Linked DNA regions of Arabidopsis thaliana. The protein of the gene in region 2 interacts with the protein of the main gene of each other region in a pairwise test. Each region holds a gene or a part of one and is shown on either strand. Other genes may lie near its edges. The genes, in order: AT1G67170, AT5G64430 and AT5G63130.

Region 1 (10,939 bases), on a different chromosome or scaffold from region 2:
CTGCAACCTGAAGCTCGAGTCTGCAGGAGAAAAAAACAAAACACAATAGAATGTTGTTGCTATCAAGAACAAGATCGCGTAGTAGCTCAATACTCTCGGCTTACCAGTGGATTGAGAGTTTGTCTTTGTTCTTCTTCTTCAGGGAGTACTACAAGAATGTTATTTGTTGAAGATAAGTCAGGGACTGTTTGTGAGTATATCTTTTGATCGGAAGAATCAGCGTCTTCTATCTTTGTGATTGTGATGAAATTGGACTTGCACAGTGGACATGTTGTTTTCTTTCTTTCTGAAACCTGCAGATATAATAAGGAAGTTGCATCATTTACCAATATGGATTTTATGAGAATTAGTTTGAAAAGCAAGGAAGATAAACTCACCAAACGGTCTGCCCATTTTTGGATGCATGAATAACAAAACCTGTGGCCGCAAGGGAGAATGCCTCTACTGGAACTGAACTCGGTCCAGCATATGATACAAGAAACTTGTGCAGGAGCCTTCTCAGTTGCTTCTGTCTCTTCTCTTGTTGACTCATCATCATCTTGTGGTTTTATCTCTGGACTAAATGATCTAGGGCGTTTAAAAACAGCTGAATGACTCCAATTCTCAGACTCCTCTATTTCATCTACATCCCAGTTTGGTGTTGCCAAGTCTCCAGGATGTCGAAGAGCTGATGTTTCTCCTTGTTCGAAAACAAAACCCCTCACATTTTCATCAGCAGGCTCTCTATGATCCTGAGTCTCATTTTGGTTCTCATCAGAGTTGTCATGATGGTTATTATCAGATTCCTCATCAGATTCAAGGTCGATAAGGTTTCTGTAAGAGCGTTGCTTTACTACCCGCTTTTTTCCTTTCCGTGAAGATTCTGCCACACCACTGTTTTCCTTGTTTTCAAGAATACTACTCGGCCTCTTTGTTCTTAATCGCACTGAGTGTCTGTTTGCTTCTACATTTTTCTGAAGAGCAACAAAGAAGCCCAGAGACATGAAGAAAACAAACTAAGTATACCATACACATAACAGTCATGCAAGTAAGCAATTACATTCACACTAATTAACATGTTACTTTCCACAGTGGCTACGCAAAGCTAATCTTGGTAGCTATGAAATCTGATGAGGATATGCTATCAGCACATCGGTCTTTCAAATGATACTAGATATACTATGCAAAAAGATAATTCTCTTCTGATCTTTTGGATATAGAAGTATACAACACAAAACATTTGTTCTATTACTGAAATTCAATAAAAACTAAACTAATAGCTGTAGAAACCTAGATGCGGCTTGTATCTACTATCTAAGCAAATAGGTAATAAGAGAACGAGGATTACCTCCATCCAAGTGGCAAGCTCAGAAGTGGAGCCACTCCGGTTTTCTCCACCATTACTAAAGTATTTATCAAAAGTTTCAGAAGCCTTATTCACTTTCTTAGTGACTTTAGCTTCCTCAGAAACTGCAGGTAGTTCAATCATCAAAGGTCCAACCTCTTCTCCACTGAAAAATTAAGGCTTTATCAATCATCTTTGAGGAACATAGAAGCTATAAGGACCGGAAACCAATAAGCATACCTATCAAACATATAAGGCGTCTCGGAAACTCTTCTCCCTTCCTTTACACATTCTTCCACCCATCGATGATTCACTACTACTGTACCAAACTTCTTTGCAAGATCGTACTTTTTGCCCTCAAATTTCCAACACACCTACACACATAACCAATTAAACAAAAGGGTATGTCTTCATTTCTCCACAGTGGTAATGAATCACATAAACAGAACAGAACAATCTACACAAACCAAATGTGTAATAGATCTTGACATTGCCCCAACATAACTTGCTCCAGAATGAGAAATAAGCTTGATGAGCTTAAACCTATCGGATCCATGATAACCACTCACAGTTGCAACCACATTTTCCATACCTACAAATATCAGACCCAAATGAAAAACGTAAATTGGGGATTGCAACAATTTCTTCTAAATCAAATTGTGCGATTAAACCCCTATATAGCCAAGGGGATTCAATATTGGGAAAAGCTTACATCTTTCGTATCAAATGGGCCAGAATCGGTAAACCCTAAACTTAAAATCGAGGTAACTGAACCAAATTTCAGCAATTGAATTGAGAAATCAAAAACCTTTTTACAGAAATCGAACAATGAAACCTTAGAAATTGCAATTTCTTTATTGGAGAAGAATTACCTGGTCTAATTGGTACAAAGTTGCTGCGATTATCTCTTTGTTTGCTTCAATCTCTCTTCCCCTTCTTTCTCAGGTCCGTGACAATGGAAGCAAATGGCTAAAGGAGAAGCGAAATTTAGATGGGAGTCTGGCGGGAATTTAAAAATATCAAAAAATTTCAATAATTTTATCGGACGGTGTTTCAAAAATATTTTTTTTTTAAAACAACTCGTATTCTGTCCAAAAATAAAATAAATAATATATATATATATATGAAATGGGCCCTTCTCACAAAATAAAATAAAAAATAAAATGGGCCCTTCAAAAGTAAACTAAAACTAGAAACTACAGTATTACAAAGATAAATTTAACTTTCGATTCATTTGTAAACTTTTTAACTGAGTGAAACATAGAGTCATAGAGACAAAATGGTGAAGGGCAAACAACAAATTTCTCTTTCTTTGTTTTTTCTTTCCCGATGTTACATCTCTCTGTATCACAAAACTTGTTGAAAACCGTCTCACAAAAGTCAAGCTCTCAACAAAATCAGTTAAACAATAGCACTCAACGTTCACCACTGTACCAACTTCTCTTTACCCATAAAGATTATGGGACCAAACAGGCAACAATTCCACAGTTGAAGGAATCTGTAGCTGGTGAGTTATTTATATATGTACTCTTAGCTGGTGGACTCATCTGCGACTAGGGTTTCCGTGTGTACCGGCGTAAGGAGTATTGTTAGATGGTCCAGGTGGGAATGGAGCGCCGTAAGGTCCTGTTGGTAACCTTGTTGTTGGGTCATATGAACCAGGAGGGCCTCTTGGAAAGTTGTAACCGGGTCTTTGAGGGAAGTATCCTGGCTGAGTTACTCCTTGATAAGGGTATTGAGCTGCGCCAACAACTGAATTTGGTCCAGTTGCGTTACCAGCTACTGGTTGAGGAATATATCCCTGCAAAAGTAACAAAACGTATATAGCTCAAGCACATCTAAATCAACTAATGTGGAAAACTATAATGGGTCTCAAAAAGACGAGCTAGCAAAGAGAAACTCACGAACCTGAGGACCAAAAGCATCTTCATAATAACCGTTTCCACTCTGATGTCCAGAAGCGTCAATTTCAGCATTTATGTTGTTACCATAAGGGCCACCTTCATTTGATTGACAGATACAACTCTTAAATTACTGAAAAAAGTTCGTGGAACAATGAAGCTAAATAGAGCAGAAACTAACTAAATAATTCAATATACCTGCTCTTCTATCTGAATTTGCATTGTTCATCAACTGTGCTTGAAGTTTTTCAACTTCCCTAGCCATAGTCATGTAGTTCTTCTCCATTGCCTGAAGTGACTCGAGATGGTCATTATAAAACTTCTTCTCATAGTCATATGTTGCCCTGCCAGAATCAGATAAAATCAAATTCATCCCAACCTTCATAAGAGGATGATACAAAAGCTGACAAACTCAATAACTATAAGAAGAGTGTCGGGAGCCAGTGATATCAGAAACTTCCATTCTACAACCATTACCTGCACTGCTGGTACTCCTGTCTTAGATTCTCAAGTTCAGACATCAGAGCAGGTATTTGCTGCACATCAGAACGAGATTTTTGAAGTTCCTGAGTCAACTGATGCACTTTAGACATAAGCTCCTCCCTAGCCACAACAAGACTCCGTGCCTCAGCACGTGCTTGTTGCATCTCCAACTTAACAGCCTCAGATTTCTGAAGCTCAGTCTCCATTTTAGCAACTTTCTCAGCAAGACCCATCATCCGTTGCTCTCTCTCGGACTTCATCGACCCAATTTGCGCGTGCAACATCTGTATTTCATGCTGTGCTGCTGCTAACTCTTGTCTTAAACTACCATGAGTTCCACCAAGTCTCTGATTCTCTATAGCAAGTCTCTGTAATTCCCCGTGTTGTGCCACAAACTTTTGCTCCATAACTTCAGGTGGAGGTAACATGTTGAAGGAAGGATACACACCTTGAGCAGCAGAAGGTGGTATAGCACCGTGATTACCGAAAGTCTCCGGATGCGCTATACAGCCACCGGGACCTGGAAGAGGACGCCTCATATGATGATGAGATGGATGGATTCTTCCTTTGCTTTCCATTAAACAAAGGCTTCTTCAAATTCCTTATCAACTGAGAAAAACATAAGACAGAAGATTAAGAGTGACACACATTAACACAATCTGCAGAATCAATGCACCTAAGTAAAAATATTCAAATCAATGTCTCTCTTTTTTTTGTTTGCCATTGAAATCAAACTTATTCATAGGCAAACAGAACAATCATCAAATTAAATTAGGGCAGGGAAATCAATTGATTTGAAAATTCCCGACCAAATTAGGGTTCTAGATCACCGAAATCAAATTCGAAGAAACGATTTAGATCCTGACTAATTACCATTAAATCCTGAAAAGGTATAGGTTTGATGACTTTATCGATTCGTACCTTGGAATGGAAGAAGCTCACTGGGATTATTTGATCGAGTGTTGGGATAGAGCGAAGAAGACTAAGCAAACGACGGCGAAGGTTTTTTTTTTCTTTTCTTTTGCCGGCGTGAATTTTTTTTTTCCTACAAGTTAAGATTTCTAATCCAACGAAACCCATTAATATATGGGCCTATTTTACATAATGGCCCAATAGCCTCATTAACTTTATTGACTCATCTTCTCCCCCACGTCTCTGAGCACAAACCCTAAGATTGAAAATCGTGAAATAGCACAAAAGAAGGAGATGAGCGATTCCGACGGAAAAAATATGGAAGGACGATTCGAAGCGGCCTATATCGTGGACCTAGTTAGATTAATCTTGGAGCGCTTGAGCTTCGTTGATTTTCATCGAGCGAGATGCGTTTCTTCAACATGGTATGTTGCTTCGAAATCAGTCATCGGAGTAACAAATCCAACAACTCCATGGATCATTCTTTTTCCAAACAAAAATGTCGAAAACAACGGTTCATGTAAGTTGTTTGATCCTCATGAAAACAAAACCTACATAATCAGAGATTTAGGGTTTGATATGTCTACGAGTCGTTGTTTAGCGAGTTCCGGTAGTTGGTTCCTTATGTTCGACCATAGAGCTGATTTTCATCTTTTGAATCTTTTTACTCGAGAGAGGATTCTTCTTCCGTCTCTCGAATCAATCGATGGAGAACGGTATATGCGATTCAAGAGACCCATTAGCGGTAGCCATATAGAAATAGACAAAGCGGTTCTGTGGGTAGATGACAAAAGCAGAGATTACTTTGTGTTTTGTAATCTTTCTAGTTATGTAGCATATCATCACAAGAGAGGAGATGACAACAATAGCTGGAAAGTTCTTCAACCAATAAAGCATCAAGGCTGTGTTGATATGGTGTTTAAAGAAAGCAAGCTTTACATGATTAGTGCACATCAATGTCTCACTGTTTTTGATTTCTCCGGTGGTGTTTCTCCAGTAGAAATGGAATGTGCAAGTTTCGGATCGTCTGTGTGTGTAAATAGATTTCATATGAAGTATTTCAGCAATCTTGCTGTGACTTTGTCTGGAGAAGTTTTGATCATTGTAGGTGGTAAAATGGATAGTTCTCCAGAGGCTAAATGCGTCTTCACTGTCAATAAGATGGATCCAAAATCATCAGAATTTACAGTACTAATCAAGTCTATAGGGGACGAGGCATTGCTTTTGGATTTAGGAATTACGGTTCCGGCCAAAGATGGAGTTATGAGAGATTGCATATATTTTAGTAATGATCAGTATCATAGATGTTGTGGGATTAGTCTACGCGATGGTTATAACGCTGACCGTATTTGCGTTTACCAAATCGGAAGCGATTATGTGGTCCAAGAGTTTGAACATCTAACTACTTCCTCGACAAAACTTTTCAAGGATGCTCGTTGGTTTTTCCCCACTTTTGGTGATAAATGGTTGTGAATTAATACTATCAAGTTTTGTCTTTTTGGTAAGGGTGGATTATTTGTTTTTGGGTTTGATTAGCAACACGGCTTTGATACTTTCAGCTTTTTGGTTCCACTTTTTCTTACTGCTATTTTGTTATGTTTTTAGCTGTTTTTTAAAATTGCTTTTTCGTACTTCGTACTACTATTTTGTTATTCTGATTTCATATGAAACCTAGCTCAAAATTAAAATACATTATTTGGAAATTCATAACAAATAGTGTTGCAGTTAATCATATGGAGTTTATCGCGATGAGCCTATGATGAACAAACTAGAATATTGGCCTACGTACCTTCTAGACTTCTGGCCTATGAAATAAAAGTTTTGTAATTTTCTTATGTAATTTAATCCCTCACTTTTTGAATGAAAAGACGATTTTATGGCAAGGTTAACGCTTCAATTTGTTGACTATTATTTTCCCACTTTCTTTACTAAATATTTAGTTAGTCACTCATAAATTATATTCAATGAATCAAAAAACACAAGTGCGGTTGCTTTGTGAGCAGACCAATTACAAGGCGTCGTCCCTAAGAGAACAAGAATAATAATTTTTCTCTCTATATATTTGAAATTAAGAACATTAAAAAATAAAAATAAAATAAAAAAAACAAGCTTCGTATTCACGGATATCTCTGATCTCTTGTTTAGTTGTTTCCATCTATGGATTCTTCATCCAGTAATTCTGCAGGCGAAGAAGGTACGTACGTTCGGGCTAATTTGTACATGATGAATAATTAAGATAGCTGAAATAACTTATATATGATTAACTAAGTACTACCTTGTATGAAACTAACATGTCTTGTTTATCTATGCAGGTCGGACCGCGTTGAAAGGGGTATATAATCATATACTTAGATAAATAAACGTTTTATGATCTAGTGACTCGATGCTGGGTTTTTTTTGGAAGTGTCTTGTCTAATTTCTTGTTTATTTTTCCTTCATCAGCTTCAGAAAAGCAATTTAAAAGGGACAAAACCAGTGACGAGAGAGAAAACGACAATAGTTAATAACGTAGATGGAACAACAACGCAGCGAGAGAAAACAACCAAAGGAAAGAACATGATTGGAAAGAAGTGAGCAAGTCAAAAGATCAGGATCCATATTGTACTATTTTGCTTTACGTTTTTTCGGTCAAGCTGTTTGTATTTCTTAAATTTGTGAACTATTTGTTGGAAAACAAAATGTTTCGCGTAATTATATGTGAGAAATAAATATAATTTTGGAAAATCCAATATTCCAATAACAAGAGTTGAATACAATCTTTAGGAGATCGAAGCATGCAACTGCATTAGCTCTTGATAGCTTGAAAAATGGAAGCCACTGTCCCAGCTAGAGTCAGTAGCAAAAGAGATATGGCAGCTAACGTAGCTGTTGTCGTCCATAAGTCGCTGAAGTAGACTTTTCTTAGTTTCGCCCATATCCTTTTCCTACGAGAACTATGGTGAATGTTGAGTTTCTCAACAATGTCGTGATATTGGCTCTGATTCGATAGCAACACTCCTATAGCTAAGTTATTCACCATCTTCAGTACCATGCTTGACCGCCCCACACCGTTTGTTAGCACTCCTGTGGATATATTCATCAATCATATACTATAACTTAGCCAAAAAAGAAAGAGAGATAATGTGTTATAATGTTTGTACCTGCTGAAGTGAGTATAGCCACGTCTTCATCGGAGGTAATAAGGAAATTCATGAAATTTATGTAATTTGTAGTAAAGGCATTTTCAGGATCATGGCATTGCTCATATGCGATGACATTTCTAAGGATGATATTAGAAGATTCATCGGCAGGAAAACTCGGCAATATTAAGCAACCTTCCTCGAATGATACATTCAGTGAATACTCACGCTTCACTACCTTGAAGTCCACTCCTACACTGTATAGCATATTCGCGCTCTTCATATCCACGATCTGGCTTTTCGAGTTGTTCAACTCTAGATTCTGGCCAAGTGATTCCTTGTAAACACACCGGAATAAATCTGTGAAGTGATTGAACTTTGTATTCTCATTGATCATGCCACTATCATTGACTGAAAATAACTGGAGGATGACTTGGTCCAGCGACTGATCTCCACAAAATCTCTTTGTAATGGGGTTTAACAACTTACTTAAACAGAAGTAAGGAAGCTGATTCTCGAGCAAGGTAAGGTCATCAAGAACCGTGGAAGTGTAAAAAGGTTTGTCCACAATCATGTCACCAATTTTTTCATGACTTTCATACATTCTGAGAATGAACTCCACGATAAAAATTGAATCGTTAAGTATAAGCTCCACGAATATATCGGATAATATCCATGCAGTCGATACCGCATAGCTTGCTCGAATATTTACTTCTTCGTCTTTTATGGTGGTCTTCATATCCTCAAGAATAGCAATATCAGTATCTAGCCTTTTGGTGAAAGCGTCTTTGTACAACACCTTTTGGTCCTCCATCATCTTATATTCTAGATACCTAATAAAGCATCTAAACATTAATATCTATATTGTGTAAGTAATTAATCATTAAACAAAAGATATGAAGTAGGAGCTAAAGAGACTAAAGTGGTGTTATTGGTTTGTGATTTACAGAGTGTTCTAATGTTATGAAGAATTTGTTGTTATTCAATCAATATGTTATTAAGCTCTGTTAAATTTTGATGTTATTGGATTCTACTTTAATCAAGATTTTACTAAACTTTTTCTTGAAGAGACTCATTAATCTGTTTACGTTTTCTGTTTTATATAACTGCAAATTGTTTTTGTTTGGTTTAAATGTTAATTTGATTGTAAAATGTAGTTCGTAAAAAGCTCTCGGAACAAAATTAAAATCCTGACATTACCGGATTTAATGTTACTTTCGTTGTTATGTTTTGAGATATTCTCAAAAGTACCACAAAACAATAGAGATGAATACTTACATATATATAGATTATACAAATTTGTACGAAATATATGAACAATAGCAAACTGAAAGTGGTATATTGCAGAATTTTTACTTTTTTTTTTGCTAACAAAACAAAGAGGGTAAAACTCAGCCAAAAACTTAACAAAAGTCCTCTTCTTCTTTTTTTCTTTCTTACGATTAAAAAAAAATACGTTGTATGAAATAAATGTTAAGAAGATGATTATATGCAAAAAAAAAAAAATTGATTATAGGCTACAAAGGTCGTCCAGGCTATGTCTGCGTACCTTGAATCCGTATGAACTTTAGGTTTCTTGGAATGAGTAAGAGGGCCGATGAGAAGCATCCGAGGTCTATAAGCTTCTGGATTCACTTCACGCAACTGGCTTGGCACTCTGTATATACAAGGGTCTTGAGATCCCATCTCCAATTGCTTATGAGCTTTATATTTTCAACATCAATAATAGTTAAAAAAAAATCAAAGAGATACCGAAGAAAAAAAAGAAATTGTTGTAAAAGTTCGTCTTTATGCTTATGAGATTTAAGACACAAAATTAAGGAAACACAAGCTTACTGTGATACGGATGTAAATGAGCTATGGAAGTAGGATTTTTAAGTCTTTTTTTTAAAAAAATTACAAATTGGAGAAGGATGTGGATCTGATAACAAAGAGAGAATTTCGAATTAAAAAATGGCAATTTGGGATTAGAAAAATAAAAATTACACAAGAGAGTGCGCTATTTATAATTTTATATTTTTTTATCTATTATATATTATACTTGCATAAGAGGGTGCGTTGTCAATCGTTTCACTAAATTAATTTTAAAAAACTTTAATAATTAATAGTAATCTCATAAGTTTACTTCATGTCAAACTATTTTAAATAAATTATGATTAATAAAATAAACAGAAAGAAAATATACTATGATTCTCATCGAATAAATGAAAATTCATTCAATCCTATAAGTTTATATAGTTTCCCAAGTTTTTGTAGTTTTTCTTTATAGCTACATATGTTAAAAAAAAATTAGAATAAAACAAAAGTCTTCTTAATATATTTTTTTTTGGGCAAAAAGTCTTCTTAATATATATGTGAGTAAAACAACATTGGAATACGAAACCATATTTTTATTTCAATGGCATTTGAATAGATACTGGTACAAAAGTTACATAAAATGATAAAAAGTAGAAATATGAAGAAAACGATAAGAGGAAGAAAGATTCCTCCAACGTCAATTCAAATTATTCTCTCTTTTTTTTGGTAACCCAATCCAAATGATTCAATCCACAATAATTAGACAAGAAAACATGCATCATCTTTCGAGTTCCGTGCTTGATTTATTTGGTGCCTTTGTCTTGTGTCCCTTTGATATTGCTGGTCTTAATATTTGCCCCTTTGATATTGCTGGTGTTAATCTGATGAAGGAAAATAATCAAGAAATTGATTAGTCTTTCCTCTCAGATCTTTCTAAAAACCAGCAAATAGTTGCTGGATCCTAACAGTTCATAAGTATGTGATAGGTTATATACCGTTTTGGGTTTGTCATCCTGTCCATGAACTGAATAAATGACGAAGAAGATAAATTAATTTCATATAAGGTAATTACATGAATCTTAAATAATCAAAAGCAATATACAAACTATTTTGGCTTAACTCATCAGGTACCAATTAGCTTGAACGTACCTGGTCCTGGTTGAACGGGGGAAGAATCCATAGTTGAGAAATAACTAAACAAGGAATTGTGAGAAGAGTAGATTCGTTAATGATAAGAAACTTGGTTTTGTTTTATGATGCTGTTACCATATATATAGATATTAATTATGTGATTATTTTTTCCCTCACAGAAGCCTCTGATTTGGTCAACCATACAGTCCATACTTTTTAATTCATAAAATAGAAATTTTTGAGGAAGTGTACCTAGCCAGTAGCCCTCAGCA
Region 2 (10,948 bases):
ACATTGTATCCGTAGATTGAGAGAGAAGTACTGAAATGTTCAGATTACTTTGCAACCGTGATTGTTTGATAGGAGCTTAAGGATGTCTTCGCATTTGTCAGAGATGTCACTTGAACTGACATCATTAAACCACTGCATGGATAAAAACAAGGCACTAAATATGCCACTGATATAACAAATCCCAACTCAGATTAACTAGCAAGGATAGAATATTCACCTTTGTATATTTCCCTAGTCGTAGAGATCCTATTGCATTGCTTCCGTTGTGAGACAATAACTTTGGAAAACACGGTGGGCTCTACAGAAGAATTGCAAAGACCAAATCATATGGGAACATATTGCAAGATTATATGCCATTATCACACATCATCATCATTGCATCCAGAAATATTTGAAATTTTTATTTTGAATTATATTTCTGAAATCTTTGTGGTTCAGCAAGTAAAAGAGATATCATATATTCTTGGGAACAGAAGTGAGTATAAACTGAGACACTTCTTCATTAAGATTTTATAGTAAATATACTATGACTGAGAAAGTTTACCGGTTTCAAATTATATCTATCAGCAGATGAAGAACCCAAGATTGCAGCATACCTGAAAGTAAACACAAAAAGGCAGATTAGTTTTAACATCCAGGTTTCTCAGAAGACCAAACATCTGAATTAGATAATTTATGGTTTTGCTTCGAACAGATTTACAAAGAATAATTCTCGTCTCAAAAAAGATTAAAACTTACACCAAGAAGGCATCTTCCAGAGATGAAGCAAGTGGACCAATTATTTCCACTGTTCCACCTTCACATAATGACCTGCAGAGATGACAATGGTCACATAAGAAATCATATGCAAATAATGCTGGCCATGGACCAAGGAAAGCAAAAGTAGAAACCTGTTAAGACACAAGGAAGGGGGAAAAAGGCCTAATGGGTTTCTAATAGGAATCCTGATTCTCTTACCCTGTCATATCTGTCCGACCATATGTTGTCTTCAGTCCCGTTATACCACAAAGTGCTGAAGGAATGCGAACGGAACCTGCATTTTCAGAATCATTAAACCTAGTAGGTATGCACATCATTGGTCAGATCAAACGAATAAATATAACTTTGATACCTCCACCATCTGTTCCTAGAGCAGCTGAACATAGTCCAGCGGCTACAATAGCTGCTGAACCTGAGGAAGATCCGCCCGTGTACCTTTTAGGATCATGCGGGTTTCTTGTGGTTCTGCAATGCACCATACCAGAGGAGCATACACATGAAAAACTAGAGTGAACTAAAGGTGCAAGAAACATACTGAAGTAACAAAACAGTTTTATGTCTATCCGCAAGATTTGTGTGTCCTCTGCTGTGTAGCTTACCCGTAATTTGAATTGTTCCCGGTGGTCCCCATGCCTAACTCATGCATATTTGCCTTGCCAAGTAAGATTGCACCACAAGAACGCAGTTTTGAAACAACAGCTGAATCCTTCTCCACAGAACGATCCTCATGCAGCCATGTTGTTCCACCTTTAATGAAAAACTCTATGACAGTTCTGTTGTATCTGGAAGTATTCTTAGTAACATATAAGAATAACAGACTCACCATTTGTCGGATGGGGTAAACAATCAATATCGTCCTTGATTGTCACAAATATTCCATCCAAAACAGATATTGGATTTCCTACACAGCTCACACCCAACATGATCAACACAGATCTCAACAATCATGTCTAACACCTCACTGAAGCTGACACTTTAAGCAGATACAATAACGATGCTGCTGTGATAATATCTGGACTACAAAATGTATCTTGGAGTATGCATAAATTTTACCTTGTTCAAACCTCCGTGTAGAAGCTTCAGCTTGCTTTATGACTTCATTGGCATCAAATCTAATCAAAAATGGTGTTGGAGGCTTGTCATAGCCAAACTCCTCTATGATTGAGATTATTCTTTTTGCTACCTAGCAATAAGCAACAAGGCTCTCTGTTAGTGCCAAAAAAAGAGAGTAATAAAACTAAAAAATTCAGATGAAAAACCTGCAATGGAGTTGTCAGCTTAGATCTATAGGCATATGCATAATCACGAATCTTCCAGTACCGGAAAGATGACACTGGATCTGCATGCAAGCTACGAGAAGGATCATACTGAGGAAGACATTTCAAGGCTGTTTCCAATCTGTCTATAGGACTTTCATCTTCGCCAACAATGACAACATCATGCTCCGGTTCTAGTAGAAAATCATACACACAACACAATCATCCTTTTGAGGTGTATATATTGATTACTCATTGAAGTAATCTTACACAATATTTCATGTAAGTATACAACATATGATTGTAGGAGAATAGATGACAGAGAAGAAGAATATACCTTGAGATGGGAACTCCGGTCTAAACATGGGCTCTTCTGGTATAACTGTGTTGCGAAAAATCTGCCAGTGACAACACGGAAAAGCACATACATGTAAGAACATTGATCATCAACAACCCTGAGGAAGATATAAGTCAAGTTTGAACAAACTAGACCTTTGTCATGCCATTGTCTTTCTTCAAATAATCAACAATCAAAGAGCCTATAAGTGGTGCTTCAAGCAAATTAACGAACAACTTGAAGGAAAGGCCAGTCAAATGAGGAGCTGCAAATTACAGAAAACCATGTAAAAGGCACATTCTCATGTCTATGCAGAAAACCCACAGAATTAATGTGCATTTGTAAAACCAACCAGACCTTTCATGGTTTCAGCTTTATATTTGACAGTAGAAAGATCAACCTCACTTGCACGTTTCATGACCTGATACTTACCCATCTACAAACAAAACATCATTAAGTTTGGAATTGATATCATAGATCACACACGTCACTGTTCTATAAGTCAAACACTTGAGAAAATTGCCAAAACAAAACAAAACCGATGAATCTCTAGTATCTTTCACCTTATCATAAGAATCTGTTATCCAGAATCAGAACAAATTAAGTGAAATAAAAAACAAAAACTGGTAAGAACTATGAGAATCGGAGAATCCAAGTAATCAGATTCAAGGAAACCACGCCAAGGCAGAAATTTCAGAAACCAGAATCACAGGCGAAACGAACAATGGTTGTGGAAGATTCGGATTGCGAACCTGAAAGAAGAAACTTAAAAAGAGGAATCTGAGAAACGATGATCCGATCCGGCGAAGGATTACTAAATGAAGAAAGCCGTGCGGAGATGAGCGGTGAAGTTGTTGGGAACTTGAATGTTATATGTTAGCTTCAAATCTTAAGCTTCTTGTACTGATTTGTACATAATTCAAGTGTACATTGAACTCGTCTCATTTGTTGAAATGTTCCAACCATGTTCTCAAATTTATGAAACTACCCCTTTATTATGTAAATATATAATTTTGGCCCGTTAACTAATGTTTTTCATTATCACACCTAACAATTTCTTTATATTTACGATGAAGTAGTGAAAACACTTTCATTTGCATTCAGTTGGATTTTTTGGTTTCCATATGGAGCCATTTCATATGATACTTACTAATTCAAAGCTAGGAATACTTCATTTATTTGATTTGGTTTCATTTGAACATAATTGGATTTATGTTAGTACATAGTTTCATTTAAAATAATATTCGATTCCATTTTTCTTTTGTGCTTATTAGATTCGAAAAATTTGATTCGTTATAATATTCAAATATTACTACAAGAAAACTATCAATAATAGGACTAACTATATAAGAGGCTCTTAAGTAATCAAAAAGTATGGTCGACATTCGTATAATGCTAAATTCTAGTATATCTAGTGAAATCAAAAGTTTTGGCTAAGATGCATCTTTACCAAAATTCGGTTGATTGACTTGCTCTGCCAAGTACAAACAACCACGAGACACGACTTGATTTATGACTGATCGAGCAACATCGTACCGGGACGGCGGGCCGATTAGTCCATATATATATGGATTATTTAAGAGGATGAGAAAATAATGAACATTTCTAAGTTCTAACACAAAATAATATTGGAAGAAATACTAATCAATGCACATGTCTTCGACAAACAAGGAAAACAACAAAAATTGTTACGTGAATTTGACAATATAAATATTGTTCTTGTACGACCATGATTGCACCTTCGGCATGCTAGTGAAATACGTCTATTATAAGTTTGAATAATTACAACAATTTCACCGTTTATAATAAGGTGCAAGTTGGCAATAATCTAAGGTATATAATAATAGCAAACAATCGAGAAAGTGAGTATACACTCACCGGTGTCAAATTTAAATTATCTTATATTCTTGATGTTAATTTAACATAACAATTTTTTTTTGTTGACCCTTTTACAGTTTTCTTCTGCATGTTGACAGACTAAAAAACATCTATCTTCTAGAACTAACCCAAAGACTATTCGGATGTGTAATACAGTTGATGAATGATGATGATTCAAACATTCAAATATTTGTTATACACAAAAGAAATCCAATAACACAATCATAAAACATATCTAAGCCTGATCAGGCGAAAGATCGACGACAACGACTTTTGTTTTTCCCTTTTTCTTAACTATTTATTTATCACTTAACCTTAAAAATATTGCTTCACTAATGTTGATTTAACAAAATATTAAGAAAAAACATGTAAAAGGCTAAAAGCTGGCCTCTTTCAACGTCGAAGTATCAAAACACTAGTGTTGGGCCCATTCACAGTGTCCCCAAAAGTCATATTAATCCATGGAGAGATTCAGCTAACGTCACAGAACCGTCACATAATCTCATCACCGCCTTAAAACTCATAAAATCTGACAGGCCACGTGTAAATGAGCAATAAGTTCACGTACTCATTTTCCAACACCACCATCACCGATACATAATAAAAACCATTTCATCACAACAGTCTTCTTCATTTCTTTCTAATTTCTTCTCTTCATGAATTAAGCCAAACCAACAAAAAAAATCATTTAATTTTCGCGGAGAGATGGAGAAATTCTCGTACAACTCTTATCCAGATTCAACCGACTCGTCACCGAGATCTCGTGAGATCGAATTCGATAACCCGCCGCCTCCATGGGATGATCAGAACCAGAACCAGCAGCAACATAGCTACAAGGTGAAGTTTATGTGCAGCTATGGCGGCAAGATTCAGCCACGGCCTCACGATAATCAGCTCACTTACGTAAACGGAGAAACGAAGATTCTTTCCGTTGATCGCGGGATTAGATTCCCTGTTTTAGCTTCCAAACTCTCCACCGTATGCGGCGGCGGTGATGGCGGCGGAGGAGAAGTTACGTTTAAGTATCAGCTTCCGGGAGAAGACTTAGACGCTTTGATCTCGGTTACGAACGATGATGATCTGGAGCATATGATGCACGAGTACGATCGCTTGCTTCGTTTGTCGTCTAAGCCAGCGAGGATGCGTTTGTTTCTCTTCCCGGCTTCTTCTGGATTTGGTTCTCAAAGTTCGACTCAATCGGATCGAGATCGCTTCGTCGAGGCGTTGAACACTGTTCCTAGGCTATCTGAATCGGAGAAATCCGTAACTGCTCCTCCGAATAATGCGGATTTTTTGTTTGGATCGGAGAAAGTTGCAGCTCCGCCGCCGCCACCACCGGCTGAGGTGAAATTACCGGTTCCTGTGGCGTTAGAACCGCCTTTGTTTAACGATCCGCGTGTGATTCAACCGGATCACGTCGTAAATCCGATGGAAATTCAAAGACAAATGCAGGAATTTCAGAGGATGCATATTAGGGATCAAGAACAACAACAACAACAGGAAGCTGTATACAGAAGGAAGAGTAACGAAGACGGTTTAATAGAAACCGGAGGTGGATACTTCTCTCCACCGTACATACAAAATCCTGCGCCACCACCGCCACAGCAGACGATTCCTCAAACGAATCCGCAAGCTCCTCCGATGACGACTTTCTGGCAAGGAAACCACAATCCAGGAGTCGTATTTCCAACAACCACACATGGATTAGGATTACCAGAGCAACCAGTTTACATGATCCCATCTCCATCTCCATCTCCGGTGTACCACGCGCCACCACCACCGCAACCGCAAGGTGTCATCAGACCAATACTTACAGGACAAGTAAACCAAGGCGGCTACTATCCTCAGGTACAGAGAGTGGCTTCAGATACTTACAGAGAACCACACCAATCACCGTACAACGTGGCTCAGCCACTTCAGGCACCTATAGGAACAAAAGCAGCACAACAACAACAACCTCCTCCTCCTCAGCCTTTTACCTCTGGTCCTCCACCACCGCAATACACCGCAGTACCACCGCCACGACAAGTAGTAGGATTACCAGATACATCAGCGTATACTCAGGTGACTTACACTGGAGGAATGGGGAAACAAGTTTATTACACGGAGGCTCCACCGCCGCAGTACCATGGAGTTGGCTTACCTGTAACTGGTATGAGTGAATTGAGAACTGGACCGGACGGGAAGCTTGTTGCTATGAACATGGCACCTAAAGTTTCATCTCAGAGTTCAGATTCGGCTGTTTGATTGATGAGGTATTTCATATGGTTGAATCAGATTATTGTTAATCTATTACAACAAATTTCATCATCTTTTATATATATATATATATATAGTGTAATTAAGATCACTTTGGTGTCTGATAAATAATGTTTTTTTCTTTTTCCCTTTATCTACTTGTTTATTTTATCTTATGATGATGTTCTTGATTCTGCAACTTCCATCGCGTTGCTTAAATCCAGTCTATTGTGCATTTGATTGCATTTATCTGAGAACCTTTTAAGCCATTTTACCTTTATTTTTCTTTTCGCCATAATAAGCTGAACTCCTTTTTTCTATCCAAGTGGTGTAGTTGTCCTTCGGCCATAATATATATGGGTTGTTCCACATGAAAATCATTTTGTTGTGGAAGATAGAACATTTCAAAATCAATAATTGGCTTCTTTGTAAAGAGATAAATATACACTCTCTCGTATGTGACCAGACTTTTAGTTAAATGGTCTACTAGAAGTTCTCTGCGTCATCTTAGCTACATTTAAACCGAATTTTCTACAATATATGATTTTAAAATATAAACTGGTCCAAAGAAAACTATCTATCAAACTCAGGGACAGGTGTTATGGGAAAGGATATTATTAGACTACGAGTTTTGAACTTTTAAGAATCCTTACAAAGAAAAGTCATATAGCTTTAGTCACTCACTTATCGGCCATGTCATAAACTTATTTGTTGCATCCTTCCCGAATCAATAAACGACACTTTAAGTATGTATATGAATCACCATCAACATCATCACGGAATACAATGCATCAATCGAAACAGAAAACCCCCCTATTAAATTATGATATCTAAAACAGGTGTCTCTTTTACACTAGTCTATGTCTCAGGTAAGTCTCACTTTATCAATTTTTGGATCATTTTGTACTCTGTCAACGCATGAATTCCCGAATTTGATTTTATCCCAAAACCGTAACTATATCATCGCAATGAACAATCAAAGACACACCAGAAACCCAAATGAACATATATATGTTCAAGAAATATATATGCTTCTGTAGATTTTTGCCCCCTTCAGACAAAGTTTTCATCAATCTCCAAAATGAGTATGTATTTATAACAAAGAATGTCTGACAAAAAAAAAAAATATATCTGATAAAGAAAATCATATGAAATCCATAGTTTTAAACATATTCTCAACCTGTAAATATAACCAACATAACAACTTGAAAACAAAATTGATGAATTATCATAACAAATCATCTCTTTGGGACATAAGTGAGAATGTAGTATCTTTTGGAATCAATGAATAGGAGAAATCCTATTCAAACTTGTGATTCAGATCCTGCGAGTTTTTCTTCATAGAAAGATAACACAAGAAAAACAAAAAAAAAAGACGAGGGTTTCACCAAGATCAACGTATGGTGATACTTTGGAGTAGTCTGCGTTAATGCTCTGTATTCTTCAGATTCAAGAAGAGATCACCGAATGCATCTTCACATGCTGTTCGACCATCTTGTCCCAACCCCTTGAGGAAAGATTTGGTGAGTTTCAACGAAGAGACCATCTGAAAGATCCTGCCACAGAATTTACGCACCTGAGCTCGCCTTACTTTAGCCTCAGGCATGTTTCCAACTAGTTCTTTAATCAAAAGAATCAGTTCCTTCAGATGGGTCGTCATTGTTTTTCTCGAATCTGCTTGGGTGTTTTCGTTTATAGGAATCAACGATCTCAGAGTTTCAGTGATCAAATCAAGAGCTTCCAGTCTACGGAACTCAACATTTGCATTCACACTTGCCTCCAGAAGGAAACCAAACAGTTGGTGTCCAATCCATGGTCTCCTTCTAAACACTTCCTCAAGAAAATCTATCTTCAACTGAGACTTCCTGCTATCAAAGTACCCGGTAACAGCACTCCGAAACACATCCAAGATCTTCTCCAATTCAGTTTCTGAGAATTTTCTCGAGTCAATTATCTTCATAACCCAGTAAGTTGAGTTCTGGCCAAGGTGGGTGATCATCTTGTATCGGTTCCACGCAGCTGACTGCTTCTTCTTGGAAGGGTCAACTCCTGACTTCTTACTCTTGAATGGTTTCGCAGCCAGTTTAAGATTCTTCTCCAACAAAGAAGCAAGTGCAGAAAATTCCATTGATTCATCCTTGGGAAACTCTTTAGCCTTGAAGATCTTCTTCTGAATGATGCCCCATATACGTTGTAAAAGCGGCAGACTACTTTCTGCAGTGCTTGGGTTCAGCATTGCCTGAACTAAGTTTAAGTACACTGTCATAACTTGTGGCTTATCTGTTAAAAGATCACCAAACCACAAAGTACAGAACTTAGTAGTGACTATTATCGTGCATTTCATCATACCAAATCATTGTTTTATGATGCACTTACCTGAATTTTCATGGAGGTAGATTTCAAGAAGGGAGAGGACACGGAGTTTAAACAAAACAAGCTGGGACTGAGCAGTTTCGCCGCCAGCTTGATTCCTCTTCTCCTTGAATATCTGGGCAAGGTAAGTGTCCATGCGGAACATTGCATCATCATCCATTCCATCATCATCATCAGAATCATCGGAATTTTCAGGAACTTCTCTGTCAACTGCCATAGGGACAACGCCGGTTACTGCTTCGGAATCATCAGTCTGCTCATCGCTCTCACCAGTTTCACCCATCTCCTCGTTTTCTTCTTCTGCATCTTCAATAGCAAGACAATCTTCTTCATCATCATCAAGATCGTCAGAGTCTTGGTCCTCCTGATGTCTAGACGGTTTTAGATCTTTCTTGATCACCCGCAACATTCTCAGCAGTCCATCGTTGGTGACATCTTGACAAAAGTACTTAAAAACCTACAAGTTACATAATATTGTGGAACTCTATTAAACTTTGAGCTTGAGCCAATTGGAAACAATTGAACCAAAGGATTAAATTGAATCTCATTTTAGCAGCCAAGGATCAGTAACTTCAAGAATAGTAAAAGAAATGAATTTGTTTGCTAGTGGTGAGCTTATTACCTGCTCAATAGAAGACCGCATTGGAGCTGAAGAATGCGGCAAGAGAGAAAGTAATGTGTCCACGAGGACATCCATGACTGCTGGTTCTTCTTCATCGTCTGCCTCACCTTGCCCATCACTTTTCAGAAGATCAAGAGAACTGAAAGCTTTGTCACAGCATACTGAAAGTTCAGTAGCAGCTTCTGAGAATTCTCCCGGATGGAGGAGTATTTGAAGCAACAGCTGAACAACTAAGTGCCTCAATGCATGAAATTTATTTGGATCAGTAGATAGTCCACAATTTCTTTCCTGCCACATAATAAAGATGTACAACTTAAACACACAAGCACATAGACATTATTTTGGTAAGATTTCAACTTACAGTAACATTAAAGCAAAACGAGTAAGAAACTTACCTCCTTTAAAAGTTTACTTTCTGTTTCTTGTAATTCTTTGAAAGCCTTTTCATCTGCTTCATTCAAGGAACGGAAGAGGGAAACTGAGGGAATATTCTGCAACGTGCTAAGGAATTTCATAAAGTATGAAACAGGATCATCGGGCTGTTCCAGGGCATTTCCTTTAGATAGTGGTTTCTCAATCTTCTGAGAATTTGACAGCAACAGCTGAAGCTGTTCGATGCACATTTGGCAAAGAGCAGCAGGAGTAGCTGTCTTTGGCCACTTAAATTTCTCCTGCAACTCAAATGATGTAACTTCAGTGCCCAGAGAAGCCAGAAAGAGACCTTGTACAGCGAGAAATTTCAGGATCTGCTTCTGAAGTCGCAGTTTCGCCTCAGGGGACAATTTAGCATGTTTTAAGATGCCAGGGAGAGATTCAATGACCCAGCTTTTCAGAACATCCGAGTTTCCGGTTGTTCCAACTGAATCCTTCTCCTCATTTGAACCATTGTCAGAATTATCATCCGTTGTTTGACTCTGATCTGAATTCAAAGAGCAAGGTTCTAGGGACCATTTCATATTTGAAGATTCTTCAGGAACATGCTGTTCATCCACAAACAAATTCATCAAGTTCTGGAGATAAAGTGTGCAACCATCTTCAGTTTCAAGCTCTGCAGCTAGAACTTTAACAGTTTTTGTCCGCGTAATATTATCAAATTTTCCTTCGCTGTGTTTCTGGAGAGCCATTGTAACGGCCACCCTCTTGGTATCGTCATCTTTCACCCAATCCATTAACTCGACAAGAAAATGGGTGGCAACTTTATGCAACCAAGAGTCCTTTGTGGAGAGTATATCCATGAGGCACTGAACAAATTTGAGCGACAATACATGTTGGATAAAACTTGCAGGAAGCTTTGGAAGAAGAAGAAGCAGGATATCAAATGCCAAATGCTTGCGAACATGAGTTGAAGAAAGTAGGTCTCCTTCCATAAAAACTTCGCAGAAATTTCTGATGTTATTTGTGGCTTCTTCTTCAACTGGATTAGACTTCCGGTTACGTTTTTGCTTTTTCGAGGAACTTGAAACAGATACGACATCTTCGCTTTGA
Region 3 (10,893 bases), 440 kb from region 2:
ACTCAGCATAACGTCATTCAAACTCATAATGACAATTACATTTAAGGTTTATTAAGTCTCCACATGAGACCTTTAGTGATTAGTTAATTGGTCCAAAAAATATAGTTGGGGACACAAATTGTTTGTTTTCGTTTGTAATTTCCAATTAATAAAAAAGCATTCCTTTCAAAATAAAGGTCGTTTTGAATAATTAGTTCGACGATACATTCCATGAGAAAATACATACGTAAGTGATTAAAACATCGAATACAAACTTGAACAACATTGAATTTGATTATTATACGAAATAATAAGATTTAAGTGACATGAAATGGATCGGACCAGGAATGCTTATTCCCCATTTAGCGTCATCAATGGAATCGAGGACCTCAAGGTGAGTTAGCCAGGACAATAGCTTCCATCATCATCATCATCGACAACAATTTCATCGTGATAAACCAAGATTAAGAACACAAGTTTTTGGTGAAGAACTGAAGCAAGAAACATACTTATATATATATGCTTTCAATTGTAGATTGATATCAAACTATATATATTGTAATGTAGATAGATACACAAATTTAGAGACGTGTATTATACATATCAACATATGTGTGTGTGAGAGTCTTATAAAGAGAGTTTTTATGTCGTTGTATTGAGAAGCAAAGCCGTATTGTTATATTCCCGCATGCATAGTTTCTTTCTCACAAGGAAATGGGGTGTGGGATAAAGGTGTAAAGAGTTATCCTTTTTAAAGGTGTGTTTGGCCTTTTTAAAATAACTATGTGATGCTTTTTTATTTTACCCTAAGTTTTTTTACGCAATGTACAGCCTTTACAACTATTCACACCACCAAATTTGCAAAATTGATAGTCAGTATTTTATCTATAATTGGCTCCTTTGGGGGTTAGAGACCGTATATAAACAGCAATGGCATGCAAGTTAAATAGTGGATTTTAGAAAACATACTAACAAACATTACAATTAAGTATGTTCATTATGATAGTAGACTGGTGAAATATAAGAAAATTATTAGAGTTGATTAATTTTATTCGTTTGAATTTCTTCAATTTCTTTTGACATGAACAAGTTTATTTCGAAAACCTAAAACAAGATACATAAATACTACCATAAATGATAAACGAAAATGTTAATATAGCTTTCAAAAAATAATACAAAAAGTACTATGAATTCGCAAGATTCGATGTTTTATGGGTAATCAAAATATTTGGAATGTTACTATTCCATCACCAATCAAAAGATCAGATGCCTATTTACGTTTTTGTTATTAGAGTTTTAATTTTTAAGACGTTGTTAGTTAGTTTCAAATTTAAGTCACGCGCGGAAGGTAGGGAGTGGCCCAATGGGTTTCAAATTATGCTTTTGTAATTTTACAAGCCCAAATTTAACATTTAGTCCCTACTCATAGTCAAAATTATATTTATCTTTACCCAATAACAATGGGCTAAACAGATAAAAGCCCAATAATAAATGCACTGTGTTTTTGGTCTTTATTTACTTTTCCATCAATTTTCGTTAAGAGAGAAAAAGGAAGAGAAGAAGAATGTTACAGTTTCCGACGTTGATGACCCAATTTCCGTCGTCGACGAAGACGATTCCGGCATCGTATTTGCTTCCGTTACAATGGCCTCAGCCGCAGAACGAGGAGATTCTTCTCGCCATGGAAGAAGCTGAGTTCGAAGAAAAGGTAGCTTCCTTCTTTTTTATTTATGTATTCGTTCTCCTTCGGAATCTGCTGAATAGGAAATTTTCAGTTTTCGACTGTCACTACAGGCAGCATAAAAGGTCAATCTTAGATCTTTAGTTTCATGTAAGTTGAGCTGATTATGAGTGAAATTTATTGATTGTGTTCGAGATTATAAGTGGTTTCTACTTTGTAAATGATCAATCTTTTTCGATCCGTGGTGATGATTTTGGTTTTAGGCAGATCACTTTCTTCTCTACTTCATATTGATAAGATGAATATGAGTTTCTGAATCTTTCTGCTTTGGAACATATTCTTTTGGGTCCTATGTTTGAGTTTTAAGTTAGTACAAAAGTGAGAATTTTAGTGGATACCAATGTCGAGTTGTGATTCTAGTGTAGTGGTTTTTCCAGTGTAGACTCTATGGATATATGCATTTGTGTTCATTGGACTATCATCTTATAGCTTTAGACCCGTAATAATGTATAAAGATCCAAGGGTGATCTTCGAGTTTAAATTGGAGAGATTTTTGGTTTCTAGATTTAGTATGGAAAAGGATTTGAGTTTATTGTTACATGTTTTCCAATGTTTGAAAACTAGTTCCGTTTCCTGAATCACTAGCAAGTGAAAGGAAAGAAGCAAAGACAAAATTTGCAGATTTGGAATTTAGCCATTGTGAACTTTAGACAACATGTCTCCTTGTCGTGTGATGTGTTGGTGTTACCTCTAATTATATGTTCTTCTTAAATATATTAGATTGTGTGATTATATAGACGTGGGAGCTCAAAAGTGAGAGAGATCAGTAGAGCTAATTGTCAGTTTCAGTGTTGTTGTTATGAATGTTTTAAGACAAGTTCTAAGTAAATTCTTGTTGTCTTGGGTTTGGTGCAGTGCAACGAGATCAGAAAGATGAGTCCTGCTTTACCGGTAATTGGAAAACCAGTCGTCAACAACGAACAAGAAGAGGATGATAATGAAGCAGAGGATGATGATGCAGATAATGCAGAGGAATCAGATGGTGAAGAGTTTGAGCAAGAAACCGGATAAATAATCTTGAGGCCGAAAATACACAAGGGTTATTGATGGCATTGGCTTGAAACTTGAGGACCCTTATCTAAATCTTCTTGTGATAAAACGACTGTGATTCTGACTTTGTAAACCAGGTTTTTTTCTTTTCTTAGGAACGACTGAAATGTTCACTTTTGGCCCTAAGGTTAGTCAGTGGATTATTCGTAGTTAATTGTCTCAATCTCATGGTGTTAATTGTGTTAGTGTATTGACATTGAATTTTATGGTTTATAGATTGTAGTGATTTGATGATGATGACATTTTTCAAAATTTAGACCGGCCTGTACATGCCAACTACGGGTAAGATATTTGACCAGAAATAATACAAATTTAAACGAAAACATATGTAGTTGGGTTTTACGTGAATAAATTTTATTTGGCCAAAAGCATAAAAAACAAGAACATGATTGGTTGTATGAATTAATAATTTGAGATTCGTTTCTGACTTTAAATATGTATAAAAATGCTAAGAAAGCCCAATTTCGTGTGCTGGTTGGTTGATATTTCAACAAATAATGCTGAAAAACAAGAAATATGTGGTACTGTTACTTCAAAATTTGATTCGAAATAATCAATGAACAACTTCAAATATTTTTTGTGGAGTTCCAAGTTTTCAAGTTAAGATGGGACAATTTGCTCACCAACTTATTCATTCTTTAGTTCTCCACTCCTCCATCTGTCCCATTCACAAGTTGCGAATATTTAGGAAGTCAACTAAAATACGCCGACTAACATTTCTTTTTCCAATAGTTTTCTGATTAATTAATATATTTGATGGTCCTTTTCTCAAGTCGGGCAAAATTTTGAATCGAATAAACAAAGGAACTCCGTGTGAGACTGTGAGTAATCTCATGTCCTTCTCTAATCCTGATGAGACAGACAAAAAAAATCGAATATTATAAAGTTGAGAAAACAATTAAAAAATTACTTATCAAACAAGTAAAATAAAAAAGAACCTCGTTAAGAAAAACAAACTCCAGAAGACGAAAGGTTGACACGTGTGACGTAACTAATCCACGGACAACACACGTGTTCACATCTCCGATATTTACACGAGATGATCTCACTATTCGCCACGTATCACGTTTAACAAAAAAACAAACGTCGTACGTGTAAACACGTCGTAACGGCGACTCTAACGGTTAGTAACGGCCACTAACGTCCCGGTATATACTCCGTCTAAATTAATTTCTCCGTCGGTTACGTCTCCGACCGGTAATTGTATAGGAAAATTTTAATTCTTCTCTTCACAAAAAATCAACACATCGTAAAAATTTCTAAAAACCCTAAATTAAATCCTTTAATTGCGTCTTCTTCGTCATTATCATGGTATTCGTATCTATGGCGTATATTCGATTATTTCCCCAATCTCCGTCAATGCCAAACGAGCCTAGAGTCTTTGTGTACACGACACGCATAGCAGCAATGCGATTCTTCCGCTCTCTGAATGTATCTTCTCGGAGGAAGATCCGTGGAAGGTAAACAATACCGAGATTGTAGATATCTTCCATACGCCGGCGACGGAGAATTTGGCGGTGAAGGCGTGACGGAGAACGGCGATTTTGGAGATCGATCACCGCTTGAAGACGGCGAAGATTCGGTCTTATGCGAAGATCTCGGAGGTGATAGAACGGCACGGATCTTGGCTCCGCAGATGCGATCGTACTCTTCAACGATCTCCGCTAGTTCTTCTTCTGATTTGACGGAGATTAGAGTCTCGAGATCTCCGTTTGGTAATTGACATCGTAAATCAACGGAGTATCCACAGAATTCATAGAGTTTCTTCATCAGCTCTGGAGAAACAAAATTAAAAAATCAATCTCAGATTCGGCGAAATCGGAAATAGAATCGATTTCAATACGAAATTGAAGTGGAGACGAACCTGAGAAAGAGATAGAACGATCAACGGAGAGGACTCTGGTGTGACCTCCGACGTAACGGAGCTTGCCGTCGGTGGAGCGAGGGAGGATTCTGCCACCGTAACTGCATAGAAACTTGAGACTGCTTCCACTGTTCTTCTCGGTATAATCAACGGCTACCATTGTTAGTTTTTTTTGAATTTTTGAAGATTTGGGAGAGAAGAGGGAAGCTTTTTATAATTGAGTGTTTGTTTTTGGTGTCTTAAACCAAGAAGAAAGGTTGCAGATGGATGGGTTTTATAGGGAAGGAGTGATGTCATGGTGGGATATTACGCGTATGGGCAAATAGAAAATTCCTTGGATCTTCTATGGGCATTTTGGACAATTCTGTTATTTCCAACAATGGAATATTCTTTTGTTTAATTGATTCCATTTTGAAGAAATCTTCTTTCTTAAAAGTCGCTCATCATTATAGACGTTTGGTCATCAAAGAAAACTAGTCATAAAATTTTAATCAAATATTGAATGCTGAATCTGATTTGTACCTTCCTCTTGGCAGTCTCTTCCATGTTAATGTTATTGTTAATTACCATCAATTTTACTGATTGCTCTGAACATGATTTTGTTTTTTTATTATTTTTTTTGCTGCAAGAACATTATTATGTTTGAAATTATAAATATGTCAAGTATGACCTTATGGCCATGTAATGTTAATGATTCGATTTTATAAATACTGTGCATTATGGGTCAAGTCAAATGTATACTTTTTCACTAGTTAGAAAATAACATACAGTATATGGTATTATTCCAGAAAATATGTATTATGACTAGGATTGGTGTAGTCACATGACTCATGAGATGGTATGTCTGAAAAATCCCATCGCAACTTTAAGATTTTCCAAATTTGATTCGACACTGTTGGCAAAATGTTTAAAGCAATAGACTCCCCCATCACAAAACCTCCAATAATTTAAGTTAAACAATTGTTTGGGTCCAATTTGTAGCCCATTAAGTGGTTAGTCATGGCCCATATCTGATTACCAACAAAATAAAGGAAATTAATTAAATTCGCGCAATAAAAAGAACAGAAAAATGGTGGGACAAATTAGGGTTACTAATTTGGGAATTTTACTGTCCAAAACGAATCAAAAAAAAAATCTAAGCTTTTTGTTCCTTTTGCGGCTTTTCGTCGTCTTCCTTGCACTATCTTCCTTCTGTAGCATCAATTCGTTTCCAAGGTTACGTAGTAGAATTTACGCGAGAGAGCGAGAGATCAAAAACCATAACCATCTTAAGTTACAATGAGCTCGTATGATCGTAGATTTGCTGATCCAAATTCGTATCGCCAACGCTCTGGGTAAGTGAAACCAATCGACCAATTTCTTCGTTTTTGTTTCCTTCGATCTGTAACACTTATCTTCTCTGTGTTACTTTAGCGCCCCAGTTGGTTCGTCTCAGCCGATGGATCCTTCCGCCGCACCATACAACCCACGGTACACTGGTGGTGGTGGAGGATATGGACCATCTCCGGTAATGGCCGGTGATAATTCCGGCTATAATCGGTACCCATCTTTCCAGCCACCTAGTGGCGGTTTCTCTGTTGGCCGCGGTGGTGGAAGAGGTGGATATGGTCAATACGGCGATAGAAACGGCGGAGGGAATTGGGGAGGAGGAGGAGGACGTGGCGGATCGAGTAAAAGAGAGCTAGATAGTGTTTCTCTTCCGAAGCAGAATTTTGGGAATCTTGTACATTTTGAGAAGAATTTCTATGTGGAGAGTCCCACTGTGCAAGCTATGACAGAGCAGGATGTTGCAATGTACAGAACCGAGAGGGATATATCCGTTGAAGGTCGTGATGTTCCTAAGCCGATGAAGATGTTCCAAGATGCTAACTTTCCAGGTATTTTGATTGGATTGGTCATAGAGTTTCCAGTTCATTTATATCTAATTTGGGTTCTTAGTTTAATGGTTCCTTTTATCTGTTAGATAACATTCTTGAAGCAATTGCTAAATTGGGATTTACTGAGCCAACACCTATACAAGCTCAGGGATGGCCGATGGCGTTGAAGGGTAGGGATTTGATTGGTATTGCTGAGACTGGCTCTGGTAAGACATTGGCTTACTTGTTACCAGCATTGGTTCACGTTAGTGCACAACCTCGATTAGGTGAGTATTACAGCACTATGTGATATTCTGATTTAAGCTGCATTCATTTTTCCGGCAACTTTTTTATTTGCATTGTTGGGGTGTAATATAGGTCAGGATGATGGCCCCATTGTGTTAATATTAGCTCCCACAAGAGAACTAGCTGTTCAGATTCAAGAGGAATCAAGGAAATTCGGGTTGAGGTCTGGTGTTAGAAGTACTTGTATCTATGGTGGTGCTCCTAAAGGACCTCAGATTCGTGATCTTAGAAGAGGTATTTTATTTTTTAATAGTGTAGTTTTCATGTCTGGTTCTTGGATGGAACATCAAAGTTTATGAATCATGATTGGCTTGTCAGGTGTTGAGATTGTAATTGCTACACCTGGTCGTTTGATTGATATGTTGGAATGTCAACACACTAATTTGAAGAGAGTGACTTACCTTGTACTGGATGAGGCTGACAGAATGTTAGACATGGGATTTGAACCCCAAATTAGAAAGATTGTATCTCAGGTATGTTTGTACTTTCTCCAAAGCTATCATGTAGTGTCTTTAAGGAAAGGGTGGTTGACCAACATTATTAGTCGATAGATTTTATCTTCCCAGTTTATTGTTCTGTTGCTAAATAAGAACCATCACGGCTTTTGTTCAGAACTTGAGATTGTTCCTTATTTTTCACAGATCCGACCTGATAGACAAACACTTCTTTGGAGTGCAACATGGCCACGAGAGGTTGAAACTCTTGCCAGGCAGTTTCTACGAGATCCATATAAGGTTTACTTGCTATTTAGTTTAACTTATTAGGATTGAGTATACTGTTGTTGAATAAAGTAGGGGATGTTTTATGTTGTGCACTGAAAACAGTTGTTATTTTGTAGGCCATTATTGGATCAACAGATCTAAAAGCTAACCAGTCTATTAACCAAGTAATCGAGATTGTACCGACGCCAGAGAAATACAACAGGTTCTTAATTTTTCTGTCATTAGATAAGAAACGATTTATATATATATTTATTTGCCTTCTTATATGATATGATACTTATGCCTTTTTTCTCGTTTGATAGGCTCCTTACACTACTTAAACAGTTAATGGATGGGAGTAAAATCCTAATTTTTGTGGAGACAAAGAGAGGGTGTGATCAAGTGACTAGACAATTGAGAATGGACGGATGGCCAGCTCTTGCCATACATGGTGACAAGACCCAATCGGAAAGAGACCGAGTCTTGGCAGAATTTAAGAGTGGACGAAGCCCGATAATGACTGCCACTGATGTAGCAGCAAGGGGACTTGGTAGGATTAACTGTGATACACAATAGGAGAGATTATACTTAGAGCATTTCGTTTTCTTGGGGTTTTAAAGATAATAAAAAAAGTCGCCTGGCTGCCGCTTTCCACAGTTTCCTCTGGTATTAGGGAAAAAAGCACATAGAAAGAAAAAAGGAGCTTCTTTGAAGAATTTGTTTCCTGCATCCATCTCCCGGGCATGGAGCTGATTGGTTTTTGAGCAGCCTGGGCGACTGACACCTGCATGCATTAATAGTGTTATAACGCCGTCCCAAACACTCCTTATCCCTGCAAGTTAAGGTGGGCACATTTACTTGGGAAAAATGTGTTGCTCTTAGTTTCTTGATCTTTCCAGATCTGCAGTTGTAGGGATAAGGGGTTCTTGTTCTCTATCCTCTCCTTAGCTAGGCTTTAAACACCAAACTCATTTACACAAAGAAATTTCTGTTCTTCTTCCTGCATTTCATCTCAGTCTATGATTTACTTCTCAACTGTGTTCCTTCTTTCTTCTTTTGTTTTGTTTTACAGATGTGAAGGACATTAAATGTGTGGTTAATTATGATTTCCCAAATACATTGGAGGATTACATCCATAGGATTGGTCGAACCGGGCGTGCAGGAGCTAAAGGAATGGCCTTTACATTCTTCACACATGACAATGCTAAGTTTGCGAGAGAGCTTGTCAAGATCCTTCAAGAAGCTGGTCAAGTTGTACCTCCTACTCTCTCCGCACTAGTCCGATCATCTGGTTCTGGTTATGGAGGTGAAACCTCATTTCTCTTCTCTCATTTGATGAGTTCAATCAATCTTGCTAAATTTTGGTACGAGGATCTGATTCAATTTTGTTGATTTGTTCAGGTTCAGGTGGTGGAAGAAACTTCAGGCCAAGAGGAGGAGGACGTGGTGGTGGGTTTGGAGATAAACGGTCAAGATCGACTTCAAACTTTGTACCTCACGGTGGAAAGAGGACTTGGTAAAGAGAATCCCATCATTTTGATTCTATGAGAAAACCTTTAATTATGATGATGATGATCAGCGTTTGGTTTCGACTAGAAGTTCTTTGTCGTAGAGAACAAACATTTACTATATAACTATTTAGCTGATTTCGCTGCTTCTTCTTCTTCTTCTTCATGATATTTCTAAACATTTTGCCTTTTTCTTAATTCTATCAACTAAATACACTTTACTACTTTACTCTCAAGTCAACCGTAACACTGTAATGAAACTTGTTTTTAAAAATCGGATGTGGATTATTAGGTTGGGAGATTCAAGTATTGCGAATAGAATTTAGACAAATGTAAGCATCTATAACATCTAGAACATGTATATCTTCTCTTTTTTCCCAACAACATCTAGTTACGAATCCTTAAGGTGAAATGTGTAAATAGATCATACTTAGCTAAAAAACCCTTTACATTTATTTGTCTAACATTGTCTACCATTAGGAAAACAAGTTAAAAATAATTCGCTATGTTTGAATCGAATTTGGAATTATATAATCGATCGTTAGTTTAACATTCAGTAATTATTAAAATTAAATTTTTAACGCAAAGATAATAATGTAAGTAATCATTAATGTGCGTGTATATATAAGCTGTGCCCACAACTCCTAGTAATGACTTTCTCAGGCATTGTTGACACAAATTTTGCTCTGAGTAAAACTTGGGAATAGAGAGAGACTCTGAGTGAGAGAGAGATTCTGAGTGAGAGACGGAGATGGAGGCAGACGAAAGCGGCATCTCTCTGCCGTCGGGACCCGACGGACGTAAGCGGCGAGTCAGTTACTTCTACGAGCCGACGATCGGAGACTACTACTACGGTCAAGGCCACCCGATGAAGCCTCACCGGATCCGTATGGCTCATAGCCTAATCATTCACTATCACCTCCACCGTCGCTTAGAAATCAGTCGCCCTAGCCTCGCTGACGCCTCCGATATCGGCCGATTCCATTCGCCGGAGTATGTTGACTTCCTCGCTTCCGTTTCGCCGGAATCTATGGGCGATCCTTCCGCTGCACGAAACCTAAGGCGATTCAATGTCGGTGAGGATTGTCCTGTCTTCGACGGACTTTTTGATTTTTGCCGTGCTTCCGCCGGAGGTTCTATTGGTGCTGCCGTCAAATTAAACAGACAGGACGCTGATATCGCTATCAATTGGGGCGGTGGGCTTCACCATGCTAAGAAAAGCGAGGCTTCTGGGTTTTGCTATGTAAACGACATCGTGCTAGGGATTCTGGAGTTGCTCAAGATGTTTAAGGTAAATGCTCCATTCCTTCTTTATGATCTCATCATAGAGAACTTCTTCATGTTCTTCTGAAATTTTTAGGGTTTAAGCTTATCTTGAGTGGTTTTTCTTAAATCTACCTGAAACCTTGAAGCCTTGTGTGATTATCGAATGAGCTTTGATCCTTTCATGTTCCTAAACTGCATATTACCTTTAGAATCTCATGTTAGGTCAAGTGCATCAGGTGTTTCTGATAAGGATGTTGATTTGTTTGAGAATGGTTTTCTACATTGCCTCTTTGTTTTCATCGTCTGGTTCTTTAAGTTTCTCTAATTAGGATTCCGTTGCTTTGTTAATGTATTCTGATAGCATCATTCAAAATGTTGATTGAGTGTGGAACGATGTTTCCATTGCTTACATCTTAATGCTTTCATCAAATTTTGTTTGCAGCGGGTTCTCTACATAGATATTGATGTCCACCATGGAGATGGAGTGGAAGAAGCGTTTTACACCACTGATAGAGTTATGACTGTTTCTTTCCACAAATTTGGGGACTTTTTCCCAGGAACTGGTCACATAAGAGATGTTGGCGCTGAAAAAGGGAAATACTATGCTCTAAATGTTCCACTA

What was found.
Region 1: the proteins of AT5G64430 (region 2) and AT1G67170 interact in a two-hybrid assay, tested with the Arabidopsis thaliana proteins (one large-scale study listed by BioGRID).
Region 3: the proteins of AT5G64430 (region 2) and AT5G63130 interact in a two-hybrid assay, tested with the Arabidopsis thaliana proteins (one large-scale study listed by BioGRID).

Annotation. Positions count from the first base shown.
Region 1 is NC_003070.9:25,121,074-25,132,012, reverse strand, and holds AT1G67170 (sarcolemmal membrane-associated protein), read right to left. Parts: upstream 4,841-10,939; 5' UTR 4,630-4,840; exon of another isoform or gene 4,582-4,629; intron 4,318-4,581; 5' UTR 4,287-4,317; coding exon 3,703-4,286; intron 3,570-3,702; coding exon 3,424-3,569; intron 3,325-3,423; coding exon 3,233-3,324; intron 3,126-3,232; coding exon 2,868-3,125; 3' UTR 2,556-2,867; downstream 1-2,555. Other genes in the region: AT1G67180 (zinc finger (C3HC4-type RING finger) family protein / BRCT domain-containing protein), read right to left, coding at 1-20, 105-293, 378-953, 1,328-1,490, 1,565-1,698, 1,792-1,914; AT1G67160 (F-box/kelch-repeat protein, putative (DUF295)), read left to right, coding at 4,915-6,086, 6,766-6,814, 7,063-7,194; AT1G67150 (transmembrane protein, putative (DUF247)), read right to left, coding at 7,406-7,683, 7,761-8,584, 9,289-9,425; AT1G67148 (uncharacterized protein), read right to left, coding at 10,340-10,417, 10,532-10,560, 10,686-10,716. UniProt on the Arabidopsis thaliana protein: Has no transcriptional activation activity.
Region 2 is NC_003076.8:25,758,069-25,769,016, reverse strand, and holds AT5G64430 (Octicosapeptide/Phox/Bem1p family protein), read left to right. Parts: upstream 1-4,596; 5' UTR 4,597-4,935; coding exon 4,936-6,477; 3' UTR 6,478-6,857; downstream 6,858-10,948. Other genes in the region: FAAH (fatty acid amide hydrolase), read right to left, coding at 49-132, 218-298, 545-596, 739-810, 958-1,033, 1,112-1,224, 1,359-1,506, 1,583-1,660 and 5 more; AT5G64420 (DNA polymerase V family), read right to left, coding at 7,895-8,748, 8,845-9,298, 9,464-9,751, 9,859-10,948.
Region 3 is NC_003076.8:25,317,091-25,327,983, reverse strand, and holds AT5G63130 (Octicosapeptide/Phox/Bem1p family protein), read right to left. Parts: upstream 5,010-10,893; 5' UTR 4,795-5,009; coding exon 4,635-4,794; intron 4,546-4,634; coding exon 4,127-4,545; 3' UTR 3,245-4,126; downstream 1-3,244. Other genes in the region: AT5G63135 (transcription termination factor), read left to right, coding at 1,544-1,687, 2,576-2,731; AT5G63120 (P-loop containing nucleoside triphosphate hydrolases superfamily protein), read left to right, coding at 5,913-5,968, 6,048-6,511, 6,598-6,777, 6,869-7,030, 7,115-7,269, 7,438-7,530, 7,635-7,720, 7,821-8,047 and 2 more; HDA6 (histone deacetylase 6), read left to right, coding at 9,757-10,296, 10,714-10,893.